Linked DNA regions of Drosophila melanogaster. The protein of the gene in region 1 interacts with the protein of each later gene in a pairwise test. Each region holds a gene or a part of one and is shown in the gene's direction. Other genes may lie near its edges.

Region 1 (9,898 bases):
AATAAAGCCGCGGAAACAGCTGTGTATTTGCAGATGCACGTACATATATACTTATACAAACGCAATTTATTGATACAGGTCACTTTACCCTGCTCCACTCATTTTTCTTTTATTCATGTGATCCTCTTCGTGGGTCAGTAATCCACCATCTGCTTTTGACCGCAAATCGTGATCGCGATTGCTGACTGCGATGCCGCCATATAGTTTTTATTGTTATTAAACAGTCTCCAAATATGCTAAAAACATTCCCGTTGGCCTTTTCGTTCCCTTTACTTGCCCCGCGCTAATAATAGGGAGTAAAATCATACTGGTAATTGTATGTCCGTAAGAACGAATGCAATTGCTTGATTTAACCAAATTTCATTGCACACTTTTGATCCGCGAATAAAACCATCTACATATGTATGAATATTTCGGTGATCTCGGTTAAGGTTCCTAAAATGTTAAGATGTGCATTTATATTGTATGTAAATATATAAAAACAGCAATTAACGGATGAATATACAATATATTTATGTGTATATATTTACCATACTTGTAATAATAGTCATTTTTGGGGTCGTTTTTGTGTGGTTTCTTATTGACTCAAAGCTATGGTTTTAGCTTTTATTTAACATACGCTGTTTTTTTCTAACTCAATGATCTGTTTAAATTTGCTGTAGTGCTTAATTCTTAGTTAATTTCACTACATTTACACAATTCCATTTAAATGCAATAGTATGAATTAATATATGTATATAATGATACGCACACAGCATGCACAACTATTGCCAAAGCATTCTATTTAAAATATGCCCACGCAATGTATGTATGTATACGTATGCATTTACATATAAGGATTGCTATTTACTATGTACTTAACAGTCAGCCCTCAAATACAAATACCTGTATACATACGGCAATTTATTCTTATGTTCATGTTCCCATAAATGCCATTTTTCGGAACACATCATTTTGCGTGCGTCACCAATTGTGTTTAAAGAAAATAATAACTTATTAACTTATAAATTTCCGGTTTTTTGATAGCAAATCGATGTCCTAATTCGATTTCAAAACGATTTTTTGTCTTAGATTAATACTGCTCTTAAATAATTATTATTTTAATGGTAACAGAGCAGCTTTATAAAATAAAAATGGGCCCAGGGCACTAAAACAAAGGCTTCATGAACAGACCAACAGACGCAGATCAAAAACGCCGGTAAAATCTTTTTTAAATCTTTTGGAACAATTTATTACGAGTTTCAAGACTTCCATAAAAAGATGTAAATATGTTAATAAAAAAAAATGCAAAGAGAAAAAAAATTTATGATTAATCTTAAACTCATAATTAAAGTGAAAAAAGATATTACATTTTAAGCCGTAAGAACTGATTATATATAGATTTATATTATTTTAAAACCTACCTTAAATTACTTTCCAATGACTTCCTTAAAAATAAAAGTAGCCGAAGCTGATGCACATGTATATAAATAATCACACATGAACATACACGCCACATTTGTCACATAGCAAACAAAAAACCGTCCCGCAGTTTGGAATGTGTGGCTATATACATATGTACATTCGCATAACTTATTTAATGTATACACATAAGTAGGCGCATGAGTATATGGACGCAAAAACAGATGCGGAGCTGCATTCTTTGTACTTAGCATTTATTTATGACAAAACAAATATAATTTACGTATTGCACGGCTGCTGGCAGCGCTGTACAGTCCGAATGCGTAATATTATCCGATTTGATTACATATGCTAGTACTTGCAAGGAGAAAGTGGTATACCGGAATTTTCTTTGCCGTGGTTTAAAATGCTGGGTGGGAGGACTTTACTTAATGAGTAAACAGGGATAATCTTGTTGTTGCGTACTGTTTATAATAATACAAATATTTAAACTATGGGCTTGATTGATATTTGGAGCTTTTCAGAGTATATGTGTAAGAAATGTTTATCTTTCAAGTTATTTCTGTATTCAATTACAACCAACTTTTCTACTGATTTTACACACCGTCCGGTGAAGGGGAATTCTTTTTTTATTTATATAATATATTATTTCATATTATTTTCTAAAAAATTTCAAATTGACTAACCGCCTTCGTGTTCTATTGATGCGACGTCACTACCACAGCTTGAACCGCCTTTCAGACTAGCATTTATAAGCAGAACGACAGAAAAGCGGGCTTCTTGATCGATTTGGATGGACATTTTGTCTGCTTGATTAGTGAATGGATATTTCGTTTTAACGATTGCAAGAGATTTAAAACCATTCGGATCTATATTTGTACCATATACATGTATAAGCCCTAATTGGCATACGTACATAGGCAAGAATAGAGATGGGAAGGATGCGCGCAATGTGAATATGCTTATTAATTTATAAGTATTATTCGTGCAGGCTCGCCACAGTCATGGAGTGGAAGTGCTGCCTTATGACCGTTCGCCCACAAATACCGAACCCGCACCAATTATGAGTTTACCATGCATGTGCACACAAAACACACACTCAACATGCAACACATACATATGCTAAAGTGCATTTGGTACACTCAGTATACAGTTTCTAAAGTAAAGATACATAGGCCTGCATTATATTATACCCTAAAAACTTTTGGCTCGAGACCGCTACTTTTATTAAGATAACTTAGTACTGCTAAGTTAGACTATGCCAAGAAAGAAAAGTATTAGTGGTCCGAAGGTCGGCTTATCTCTTTTGCATTGCACTGCTGGACATCTTGAAAAACTAGCCATCATTTTTATATTTGCTTGAGAGTTAGGATGCTAAAAGGAAAGCTAAAAGTGTTTCCGTACTATCAGGACAGTTTGAGGTAAGCGTGACCGGGTTTGACGTGCGTAATTGAGCCAACCTAACAACACGTTTTCTGAGCACAAGTTCTCAGCTTAACCAATTGAGTCAAGTGAGTTTGAACATTTGGTATGCTCGGTCTGTCCTTGTATTTAGCTGTACACTGTAAGCCCATTTTTAAGACCGCGGGACCCTAGGTTTTGCCTAAAGCTCATGCGTAGCTGTCGACCGATTGAACCTTAGATTATGTAGATATGTATGCGGATTGACTAGTTGTATTTAGACTGACTTGATAGAATTTCGGGTTTATGATCTCTTTTATGAGATGATGTGAATGCGACTTCATGGTAGCCTTGTCTACTATCTCACCAAAAGGCGTCAAAGTCCTCTTCGATCACTATCCAAGATAGCAGCCAAATACCAAAAGATACTATGTACTATACTATAAGGTATTTATCAATCATGTACGACTGCTGTAAAATATATCTATGGGAATAGCACATAATTTTCAACAAAAAAATAGTGGGTTTCCTGTAATTTTTTTTTACTGAGCATGTGTATACTTTTAAAACAATATTCAAATTTGCAAGAAGATATTTATGTACATACATATACCCTAGGTATCCGCTTTTTTCCACGCCACGAATTGTTGCGAATGCATGCATGTATGTGTGTACATAAATAAATATAATATTAAAGAAAATCGATAGAGGTCGATTCCCACAGACCAAAGCACAGACCAAAATCGATTGAGCAGCAGAGGTGGCGGCTAACGTTACCTAAATATGTACATATGTATATGCTGCAGCATACACGGCTGCACATTCATTTTGAAAAGGTAGGGTTCAATAGTGTTTTCCGGATGCCTATGTGCTTTGCGAGCCGCCCACTTGATTGTGTACGTGTTTGTACATAAGAACTTCACATAAGCATTAAAATGCATACTGCCGCACCGTGACGAAGACCAGAAATGCAGCCATATCGCACATACATGCACAAGTGCAGCGCAAAACTCGAGCTAGACAGAAACAGTTGGCTGGCTGTCCGGCGGCGGAAGGGAGATGGCTGAACGTGGACAGAAACAGGAGCTGGGCAGGGGTAGTAACAGGGCCAGGAGGTGCCAGAGAGGCCTTGAAGTAGACATTAAATCATGCACAAATTTGCATTCCACCGACCAGAACGGACTGTGCTGTGGTTGCAGCAAGACAGCAGGGAGGAGGTCGGTTTGCTGGGTGGTTGCAGTGGTCATCACGCTGCAACGCTGCCATAAGGGATGTTACTGCGGAAGTGCAGCGCTGACGGGACCCGACGACCAACGACGAGTGCAACAGCCCCCCTCCGCCTGCTTGTTTGAGAGTTATCAGTTGGAGAGGGCGGCGTAGGGGATGATGCAACGAAAACGCATATGAAAGCGGCATGGGCCAGACATACATATATGTTGTACACTGTACGCACACAGACTCACGTGGAGTGAATGGGCGCTGGGCAACAATAGCATGCAGCTTAATACACTTGAAAAAAAGACCAGAAAGCCATATCCCGCGCCTTAGACGGAGAAGGGAACGGGCAGGGCTAGACAGAGACTAGAGGCCTCATCAGGTCATCCCTACAAGGTGTAATTGAGGAGCAATAAGAATATCAATAAGCTCTCCGAGCTTAAGAATTGTAATTCAGGAATTGGTGCTTTATTGAAATTTTTTTATTCAATTTTTTTTTGAGTGTAGAGCTGCAACTGCAAATGCTGAAACAACTGCCACTGCAACTGCAGTTACCAACAGCGCCGGCGCTGGCACAGGTTCCCTGTCCGAGTGCAAGGATCTGAATCCACATCCGCCGCTTTCGCTGTTGTTGTCGCTCCCGCTGCTGTCACTTTTTGTTTAACACACAATTTTTATCTTATAATAAGCACACCGCTGCTGCCAGCTATTTCCCCAATTCGGCACCCGGCTGTCTCCATCCCAGTCTCCAGCTTGGGAAGCAACGTATGCCGAGGCGATGATTTTTATTCTCAATTATTTTGGATGCGGCATTCAGAAACGCAATATTCCATGGAGTAGAACAACCGACTGCGGATCGTCCTGACCTCGCGGATCATTTTTATTTTATCAAATGTGCTTAAACCAGATATAAAATGATTGTGGACTGTGCTAAAAACTAAAAACTAACCAAATAATAGAGTTGTTTGATAAAAAAAAAAAAACAAAGCACAAATGAATTGCTTGGCAATGCTTACTTGGACGATTTCATTTGTGTTTTACTGAATTCAGATGAAAATATGAAAACAATATTTCTTTTAATTTAATTTCAGATCATCATAATTTTAACAAACACAATAGACCAAAAATCGTTTTTAACAATAAAGAAGAATCCGTAACTAAACGATCAAATCGACAAACCTAACTCAACCCAGCCATCTTTCAGTTTTAAACGCAATAGAACAGATGCATTAATTAACTAAGTTTTCTACACCTATTACCAAAAAGGAAGAACCACATCAACATTAACTTCATCACCAATCCGAAAAATAACATCTAAACCAATATAACCTAACATAAAAACAGACCAACGAGAAAACCCATTTAAAAATTACTTTTTAGACAAATGAAAAATATAATTTACAACAAAATTGAAATCAAAAGTACAAAACGACATTAATGAATGCGCAAAAGAATTATAAATTTAATACAATATAAAACTGTATGTTTTAGTAACGATTACGTGAAGATTTAAGTCCAAACTAGGCTACTAATCGAAAATATGATTACGTGAAGATTTAAGTCCAAACTAGGCTACTAATCGAAAATATGATTTATATGATTTACACAAATGTGTACATAACCATATAGTCATTTAAATTGCATATATAGTCTCTTAATACTAATTTAAACAGTATATAATAAAACATTTAGATTTTCTACAGCTACAAAATACACTCCCTGAATGATTACCGAAGACACACTGACACCGGAACAGACAGTTTGAACTATCACATACCCTACAGCTAGCCCTAGCATAACCATACGTAACTATACACCAAGTCGCTTATTATTTTTTAATGATAAGAGCAATACTCAAAAAATAATAGTATAGATACATGATTAAGCGTGAAGAGATAGTGGTTATTATAGTAAACAGTACGTAAAATAGTATATAAAATTAAAGATATTGCTACTATAAATAATCAAAATATCATTCTTCGGTAATATAATGGACGATATTTTAAACTAAATATTCGTTTAAGTTACAAATGTGAACCTCGAATTATTTTAAAATTGGAATATATCATATTATATTTTTATATGTATATTAAATTATGAGACGTCACAATGCGTACATATGTAGGTATTTCCGAACAATACAAATCTGGGCATCAAAATAGTAGATCGTATCGGGTAACAAATTGTGATTCAAACGTTTACAAAATTTTTAAATTTATATGTAAACAAATTCAAATAGAAACTGCATCAATCTAACTCCATGTTTTGGGATAAATAGGCGATAAATGAATTTTATAACCAATATATCGCGACACCGTAACGTGTGCCTTATTCCGGCCTTAAGTTTAAATGACTTTTAATAATACATCAAAAACCTAATTCAAGTATATATTAAGCCCACGGACATTCAACTGCAAAGCCGTCGCACGTAAAAAGTCAATAGGATATAGGATTTTCTAATATAGGACCATTACCTGATTGGTATGCCGCCCATCACCTGCGACGTAACCGTCATCGTACTGTAATCGCCTGAGAATATGTTTGTTTTCAAGGTAATTATTGATCCTAACTTCCATGTTAATATCGAATCCCTACAGTCACAATGGCGATCATACCTTATATACACACATATATAAACATATGCGTGCATATATATACATACGTGTAACAAGAACAAAGTTTCCGTTTTCCGGCTTGACCGTTATTCCGAGGTGGCACGATTTGGCAACTAAGAGCCATTCCAAAGAGAGCATTATTATCCGCTGAGCAAAGATGCTGTTTCTTGGTAAACCCGAAGACGGGACGAAGATATTTTGCCGAAGGCCTTAGAGCTGAGTCCTGAAACGAAGACGTTTGGCTTACTTTGCGCCAGCGACGATGGCGACAGCGATGACTCGACTTCAGGCCGACTCCACTTTGCGTGCAAGTTCTATTTCTAAACGAGACGTGTCTGAACCCCCAGCAACAGTCATATTTATACTTGTCCGAGGCGGCGGCCAAATTAGTTTTTCTATGACTCGCGGGCCGCCAGGTTATCTGTAGTTGTTTGCTGGGAGCGACTTCCAAGTCTCAGCCGTAATCGTAACCGTAATCGAGGCCGTGCATATAGACAGTCACTGTATTCTTCCAACAAAAAAAACCTCGTAAAGAGGTAAAAGCAACCGAAATACGCACCAAACCACCAATTATACAAATGGCAGCAAGATAACATTTCGCTCCTTTTCGAACACTTGCATACGCGACACATTGCTTATTATTGGTTTTATTCACAAATTTTGGTTTTTTTATGCTTTGAACTTTAGTTTCTTTTCTTTAAAAAGTGATTAAAACAGTTTGGTGACTATGTTCCATCCCCAATAATAACAAACAATTTATAAGTGTCCATGTGCGACGCTAGGATATTCAAGAATAAGTTTCCTAATTGACCTGTGTGTTTTATTTATTTCGACGCAACTACGTCTACGAGGAAATATATTAATTTTTCAAAACCGATGCCAACATATATGTGGCTTGGTAACTTAAGTCGTCCAGAAACTGGCTTATACAAGAAACCGTATTCTTATATATTAAGGCTCTACCTTCGATTGCTTTTAAATCAAATTGTCTATAAATTGAATCAGAAACGTTAAATTCTGGGACAAAAGCAATTTTGGTAGACTGACTTTTTTAAACAGAATGACCGATATATTAGCTATGGTGTTTATATATATATTTTAAATATATATCTTAAGAGACGTATGCGTATCTCACGTTTTTAATATATACAAAATACGGAAGTAATTTAATAATTCTTAATTTGATTTATTAATCGAAAGAATACGTGTAAAAAAAAGTTAGATCATTATACACTTTTTTACTTCATGGTTTTACTTCCATGGTTTGGCTTAAAAAAAAAGCACTCCAATTTTATATCCATTATTTTAGAGGAAATCATCCTGAGGCACTAGAGAAATGTTGTTATTTCTTAATGATTTAATTGATAGGTATACTGCTTCAAAAAAGCTAAAGAAATTTTTGGAGAAAGCCTTCCGGATGTAACTGGCGCCAAAGCAGTCTTTTCTTGTCCGAAAACTTTAAACAACATTTTCTTAAAAACCACGATTTTCAAAATTATGTAAGTTATAATAAACAATCTAGTAAGCCAATTTTCATCATCTAGCATTCATTTTAAAGAGCATAAACATTTTTCAAAAAAATTTTTGTCAGTAATTGGCAGGGTTACTTTTGGAATTTTGCAAACATTTCTGCTCATTGACAATAAAAAACCCGAGTAAGAAAAGAAAAAAAGTTTGTTGAATTCAGACTAAAATTTCAAAACTTTTGTTAAAACGTTTTTTTATTACCTCTGCCATGACTATCGTAGAGTAAAAAGGGTTAAGCATTTCCGACCATATAAAGTATAAATACTCTTGATCAGAATCAATAGCCGAGTCGAACTGGCCATGTCCGCCTCAACCTATGAGGATTGAAACAAGCATTCATTCTGAATACATAGACGCAGCGCAAGTTTGTTGACTCATATTGTCACACTCACTCTAACGCCCACAAAGCGCCTTAACCTGCCACGGACACCTTTTTGAAATTCGAAATATTTCGTTATCTTTTCATATTTTTATTAGTTTTGTAAATTTATATCGAGTTGCAAAAAAAACTATTCCACGCCAACTATAACTCCCACAAACCGCCCAAAAATGCCACACCCACTCTTTTAAGAAATGATTCAATTTTGTTGGATTAAATAAGTCGTTTTCCTTATTTCAATCTATATGCCGAAAACATATTGACCACGCCCACTCTGACCCCTAAAACCGCCCAATTTTAAAAATTCAAAAAACCCTTTTACGCTTAACAACTTTTTTTGTTTTACAGGCAATAAAATGATATGAAATTACGATGCTTTAACCAGGCCCAAACTTCGCACAGTTGGCACCCCAGATCCGTGTTCAGGGTCGTAAGCAGTTGTCCTCCCGATCGAAAAAAACGGCCAAGCCCAGCGAGCTGGCAAATCTGTATTGGCCATCTCCTAACAAATTATCTTGGAATGTTTAAAATGGACTCCGCAGACTTCTGGCAGCAAGCGCGTGCTCCGTTTGGTCTGCAAACTGCGCTTCACCAATACTCTTCCCCCCCGAATCAACAGCCAATATCCCACCACGCCCTGCACCACTCCGTTCCGCAGGAGAACGAGCAGTTGGCCGGAGTTCAACCAGAAGGTCCAGCAGCAGGATCAGGCGTAGTGGGCAACAACAGTTCCATGGCAATTTCCGGCACCAATTCAACTGTGGGCAGCAAGGCGGAGTCCAGTCACATTCCGCAGCAGCACTCAGAGCAGCAGTCATATGGAAGCGACTCCTTCCGAGGAACGCAGTCGCCCCAGCTGAGTAGCCACCACCTGTTGTTTAACGCCGCTGCAGCCGCTGCTGCGGCGGTCCACCTCAAGTCCACGGCGATGCAGAATAACCTCTCGCCAATAGGCGATCAGGTGCAAAATAACCTTCGCAACTACGGACAAGGATCCTTAAACGCCTTATGTGGGATCAAGCCCAAGCAGGAGATGGATGCGAAGACGCCCCTACAGCCGTTGGACGAGTGTCCCCACCCTCTAGTTCAGGCGCAGGCCCAGTCCCAGTACGGCGGAGACTACTACGACGTGGCCGACCCACAGGCTAGAGAAATCTCGGAAGGTCGAGCACTGATAATCGGACTCGGAGCACCCAGTACGGTGTCCACCGACGATGCACAGTCCAGTGCGCCGTCTCATCAGCTGGCAGGGACTGGCCGAGCATTGCAGACTCATCAGTGCAAGCCAATGTCCCCTGGAACAGTTGGTAGCTCGAATTTGGGCGCAGGACGAAGATCCGCACCCACAACAATAAGCAAG
Region 2 (5,407 bases), on another chromosome or scaffold:
GTAGAAGGTATTCAAAAGGTGGAATGTGCGGAAGGGGAGGGAGGGGCAAAAATACCAAACTTAAATCTGAGCTTTATTTTTCGCGCAGCCTGTCGCAAATCTCAGTTCTGTATTCGCCAGCAGCGAGAGAAGCAGCACGGGCAGCAACTGGTGGCAGTGCGAATCTCCGGAGAATCCACAACACCCCAACCACAGAAGCAACAGCAACCGCAATCACAGCGAAAAAGCGCAAAATGGTGGTAAGTACGAGCCGAAAGTGAGTTTGAGATCAAGGTGAACGGAGTCTCAGCGAAATCGAGTGGTTCCCTTATCGCCTCCAACTGAAATCAATCGACCACCCAAGGACAGGTTTGGACTTTCGGAAAGTGCTTTATGCCCTAACAAATAGAATCACTGTGATTTTGGCCAGAAATGGAGGTTTTTCGCTCACAAATTATTTTGTATATATATCGTATGAATCAATAACACTCACATACTTGTTGCTCGCTGCCCTTTAGGTACGACTAAACGAACAGGAACGCGCCGAGAAGCTGCAGCCCCTCCTGGACGCCGGCTGGACTTTGGTGGAGGGGCGCGACGCCATCTTCAAGCAGTTCGTGCTGAAGGACTTCAACCAGGCCTTCAGCTTCATGACGGGCGTGGCATTGCTGGCCGAGAAGATCAACCACCATCCCGAGTGGTTCAACTGCTACAACAAGGTGGACGTGACCCTGTCCACGCACGACGTGGGCGGTCTCAGTTCGCAGGACATTCGCATGGCCACGCACTTGGAGACCACGGCCAATTTGTTGAAATAAACGCATTGTTATACTAGTTGCTAAATATCTATAATCTTCGGTGTCCAATAAATACTCAGCTTAGCATCGATTTGCTAAAGATTTGGTAGTCGGCTTGTTCCAGGACATCTGGCGAGATCTCGTCCTTGACGTAGCCCAGTTGCTTGAAGAAGGAAATGGAGGCTTCGTTGTTGTTGAGAACGGTCAGCATGACCTTTTCCAGATGCCACAGGCGAGCGCAGTCCTCCAAAGTGCTCATGATGAACTTTCCCAGGCCTTTTCTACGATACTCTGCAGCCACTTGCATTTCGTAACTGAAAGGAAGTTCTACGTAATTAATGCATAAGGGCTTTACTTATGGAATACCCACCAATACAGGACACAGTCCCCGTGATCCATGTCGAAGCGGAACATTGCGTAGGCCACGTTCTCCTTCTTTTCGTTCTGGGCCACCAAGTAGCGAGCCCAGTTCTTGTTCAGCTCGGCGGCTTTGATCTTGGGCTGCCAGCCCATCTTGAGTTGCTTGTAATAGGGTCCCACGTTCGTCTCGGCCAGCTTAAAGGCCCATTTCAGCAGTTTGGAGTCCGCATCCGACTTCGCTCGGCAGATGAGTTTGAATTCCTCTCCGCTGGGGGCTTTGTAGCTTTGGTAGCTCAGAGATTCGAGGGGATTCTTGGCCCTGGCAGCCGTCTCCACAAATCTCTGTTTGGCGCCCTGACTTAGATCGTCCTGATTCCGCATTGTTTGCTTAAAATTTTGTAAAAATGGCAATTCGACTAAAAATATGCCGCGCAAATTAGGGATGGCACACAGTGGTAAACAAACTATTATTGCTTATATAGAGACTGCTATCGATTACACAGATTAACTTTAATTGGTATTTTTGAAATAATAATTACTGGCCACTTCATTATTTACCACTGTTTTGTAAACAATTGCAGAAAATTTATTGAATTCCATTTTACGGCTTATATACGGGTTTTAGACTAAATTGTTAGTACGATAATTAACCTTAATATCACTAAGACTACGAGACTCGATACATCAGGTAACCCCACATATTGAATCCCCAATTCAACAAGTGCTGACGTTTCCAGTTCTCTAAATTGTAGTTTCAAGGAAACAGACGATGTTTAGGAAGTCCAGGCCCAAAGTAGAGCCTCCACCCACGGCTCCCAGTGTAGAGGAAATGCTGGCGGACATGGAAACGTTCGAGGTCAATCAGCCTACGATAAGCGGATCTACAGACAACTTGGACTTGGAGCACGCTTTCATGACTGAACCAGAGAATCTTCCCCTTTCAACATGGTGGCAGATGTTCGACGAGTACGATCAGAAGGTGAAGAAACTGTCGGCCACCGTGGGAGATCTGGAGACCCAACGAAATCAGTTAAAAGAATGCTATGCGAAGCTGGAAAATAACGCGGATAAACTGAGAACGGACATCCAAAAGCAGCAGGCACTGGTCAAAGAAGCCCTTAAATGTTAATCTATCATTAAGCTACCTTATCTTAAACTATTGTTGAATGCACGAGCGGGTAACAAGTAAAACCTAAAAACTCCACAATCTTGAGAATATTCACTTTAGGCCCACTGCACTGTGGTTCGAGTCCCGGCTAGAACTTCAGCTCAAAGTACGTTTGCGGTATATTTTTCAACCGCGAGGTGTATTTTTCTGAGCCTGACATTTTAACGGTCAATGCGCGGTGTGGTCACACTGCTTGGTGGATGGTAAGGTGGTCGAAAAAAGTTGTTAAAAGCGCAGAAAAAGCAATTGTAATGCAATTGCTCCAGTGACTGTGAAAAGTAAGCAGCCAAGCAAATAAGTTAATCAAAACATAGATCAACAGATCAGAAAGTCCTAAAACGGCACGATTAGTCGTGAAATTCGCTCGGTTTAGGCCTGGATGATTGGGCAGAAGAACAGGTTTTAGGCCGTGGCAACAACGAAAAAAAAAAAAAAATAGAAAAAAAAACCTGCGACTGGCTTATACCATTTACGCCATTAACGGAGGTCGATGGTTATCCCTGTGTGTGTGTGGTGTGTGTTTGGTCCAATATATTTGGCTAAATTCCGCAAATCCAATTAACGCAAACGGAAAAAAAGAGTGCAACAATTTGTGGCTAATTGAATTTTACGTGTATTTTATTTTGGTTTTCGACCAGCGCAACAACAACAGCGAGCAACGAGTAGAAAGAGTGGGGAGAGCAGTGGGGGTTTTTTTGGCCCAAAGCTCAGGTAGAATACACACACACACGCATGATTGTTGGGCAAAAACAATAATTATCCAATTAAACGGTTGTCAAAGAATGCATTTAATTTCATTGGCCAATAGGTTTGCGCGTAAGAGAGGGAAGCAGTGGCGAAGAGAGCGCCTAACTAACAGTATTTTTCACGGGCACACCAATGCGAGCGACACTGCTTCGTGTGTGTATGTGTGTGAGGTGCTAATGAGATGCTGTGACGCTCTTCTTCTTCTTGCCGTTTGTTGCTTTTGCCATTTATGCAAAAAGACGCAAAACAGCGAAAAAAAAACAGAACAAAATACACAGATTTTCGAGCTGAACAAAAGATTTCACGTAAAAGGTGAAAGCCACTTGGAGATGCGAGCACACGGCGTATACGCAATGCAGTTTCTTTGTGCCACGGACCGTTAATGCAATCATCTCGCGATCATAACCGTTCTAGATTCTCACCTCTCCACTCCGCATTCTGCACTTTTCCACTCCTCCAGTTACCGCGGAGATGTCACCGATTGGAGCCACTTCCTCGCAGCGAATCCCACAACAATAACAAATAACGAATAACAAATGATGTGATGCAGCAGCAGGGGTCGAGTTCGAAAAACACAACCTTCGAGTAGTCCAGGCCATCTAGAATCGCACCCGGATCGCACCCACGATGAGCTGGCTGCTGGGCCTCCTCGGGCTCCAGGTCCTGTTCCTCTGGCTCCTGTGGCTGCCCGGCGAGATCCTGGCCATTCCCACGCCGCTCAAGCTGCCAGGTGAGTCGGGCTTTAAAAGATAACCCAAAATCTAAAAAATTAAACAATCTGATTTTTTACAAAGAGGCTTCCTCAAATATGCTATTTGTATATCATCATCGTATCAATATTTGTTTTCTTAAGTACACTGTAATCCTCTTAATCAGTTGCTTTCTATAGCCTACCCACAAATTTGTTCATCACTTAGTTAAGAGAAATTTCATCTTGTCATCGCCGCTGGCAGCTTTCTCCCGCTCCCACTAACCCCTAAAATGCCCCCTTCCTCTTACAGGCTACACCCACAGGCTGACGCCCTACATCAAGCACTGGGAGGCGGCGAACTTCGATCGCCAGGTGCTGCAGGCGGCGCAGGTCAGGCACCTGGAGCAGGCTCGCTTCCGGCAGAAGAGAGAGGTGACCCCCTCGGCGAGTGGACTGGCGCACACCATCCGCTTGAATTTCTCCGCCCACGACAGGTGAGTGCACTCGATATCGCCAGCCGAAAAGGTAATCACTTAATCACCTAAAACCGCCTTCCTCACGCAGAGATTTCCGCTTGGTGCTGCGTCAACAGCCGCATTCGGTGTTCGCCCACGATGTGGAGATCGAGAACACTCTGGGCCCCATCGACTACGATGTGTCGCGCATTTATACGGGCAGCCTGGAGGACGACGAGGCGGCCCACGTCCAGGCGATCCTCACCAGCGACAACCTGTTGGACGGCACGATAGAGACCCAGGCGGAGCACTACTACATCGAGCCGGCGCATCGGTATTCCCAGCAGCTAGCCGAGAGCGGTGTCCACAGCATAGTCTATAAGTTAAGCGATGTAAATATGCAGAAGCAGCAGTTCACCGGCGGAGGACTCAACTCCGCCACTCCCGCCAAGACGCACTGCGCCAGCGAAAAGCTGAGGAAGAAGCGGTGGCTGCCAGAGGAGGTGAGTATCCGAAGAATGCACTCTAAATCCCATTTTAATGAATCTCACCTTTTAGCTGGCCATGTCGGATGCTCCGGCCCCCACGTACAATCGTAATCCGCCCCTGCCGCTGGACTTGGAGGTGCCGTACAACGATGATTTTCGCGTCCTGGCCTCCGAAGAGGACAAGAGCGAGGAGTCGCCGCGGAAGTACCCGACCACGTCCACAACCAGGAGCACTGTGCGCAGCACCGAGAGCTTCCTGGCCACTCTGACTAAGCCCACGTCGAACCGCAACATACTTGTAAATAACTACAATCCCTCCAATCTCGGCGAGGGAAGTCGCAGCTACAGCAGCGGCAACAACAACGCCAACAGCAATAGTAACAACAATAACAGCAACAACAACAATAATAATAATAATAGTAATAACAATGTGCGGAAGTTGTACACGAAACACAAGAACATTATTGTAAGCACGTACAACCGACCCATCGAACCGGAATTCGGAACGCCCTACGAGGAGCCGAATAACAATGGCACCCGCGAGCTGCCCAGTAACTTCTTCAATGCCAACTGGACGACGCTCTTTCTGGGAAACAACAACAATGGCAACGACCGGCCCAGCCACAAGACGCATGTGGAGATCATCACGAAGAACGGAGCCACCAAGAAGCCAAACATCATTGTGAACAACTACAATCCGGAGATCATATTCGCACCCAATC

The links.
Region 2: the proteins of dati (region 1) and CG18731 interact in a two-hybrid assay, tested with the Drosophila melanogaster proteins (one large-scale study listed by BioGRID).

What each region holds. Positions count from the first base shown.
Region 1 is NC_004353.4:390,533-400,430, reverse strand, and holds the start of dati (datilografo), read left to right. Parts: upstream 1-4,825; 5' UTR 4,826-6,569; intron 6,570-7,020; exon of another isoform or gene 7,021-7,168; intron 7,169-8,886; 5' UTR 8,887-8,899; coding exon 8,900-9,898.
Region 2 is NT_033777.3:29,723,350-29,728,756, forward strand, and holds CG18731 (uncharacterized protein), read left to right. Parts: upstream 1-1,677; 5' UTR 1,678-1,824; intron 1,825-1,873; exon of another isoform or gene 1,874-1,888; 5' UTR 1,889-1,905; coding exon 1,906-2,265; 3' UTR 2,266-2,341; downstream 2,342-5,407. Other genes in the region: Pcd (pterin-4a-carbinolamine dehydratase), read left to right, coding at 1-7, 89-239, 498-797; Naa40 (N(alpha)-acetyltransferase 40), read right to left, coding at 853-1,090, 1,147-1,517; Kul (Kuzbanian-like), read left to right, coding at 3,679-3,781, 4,053-4,236, 4,307-4,700, 4,756-5,407.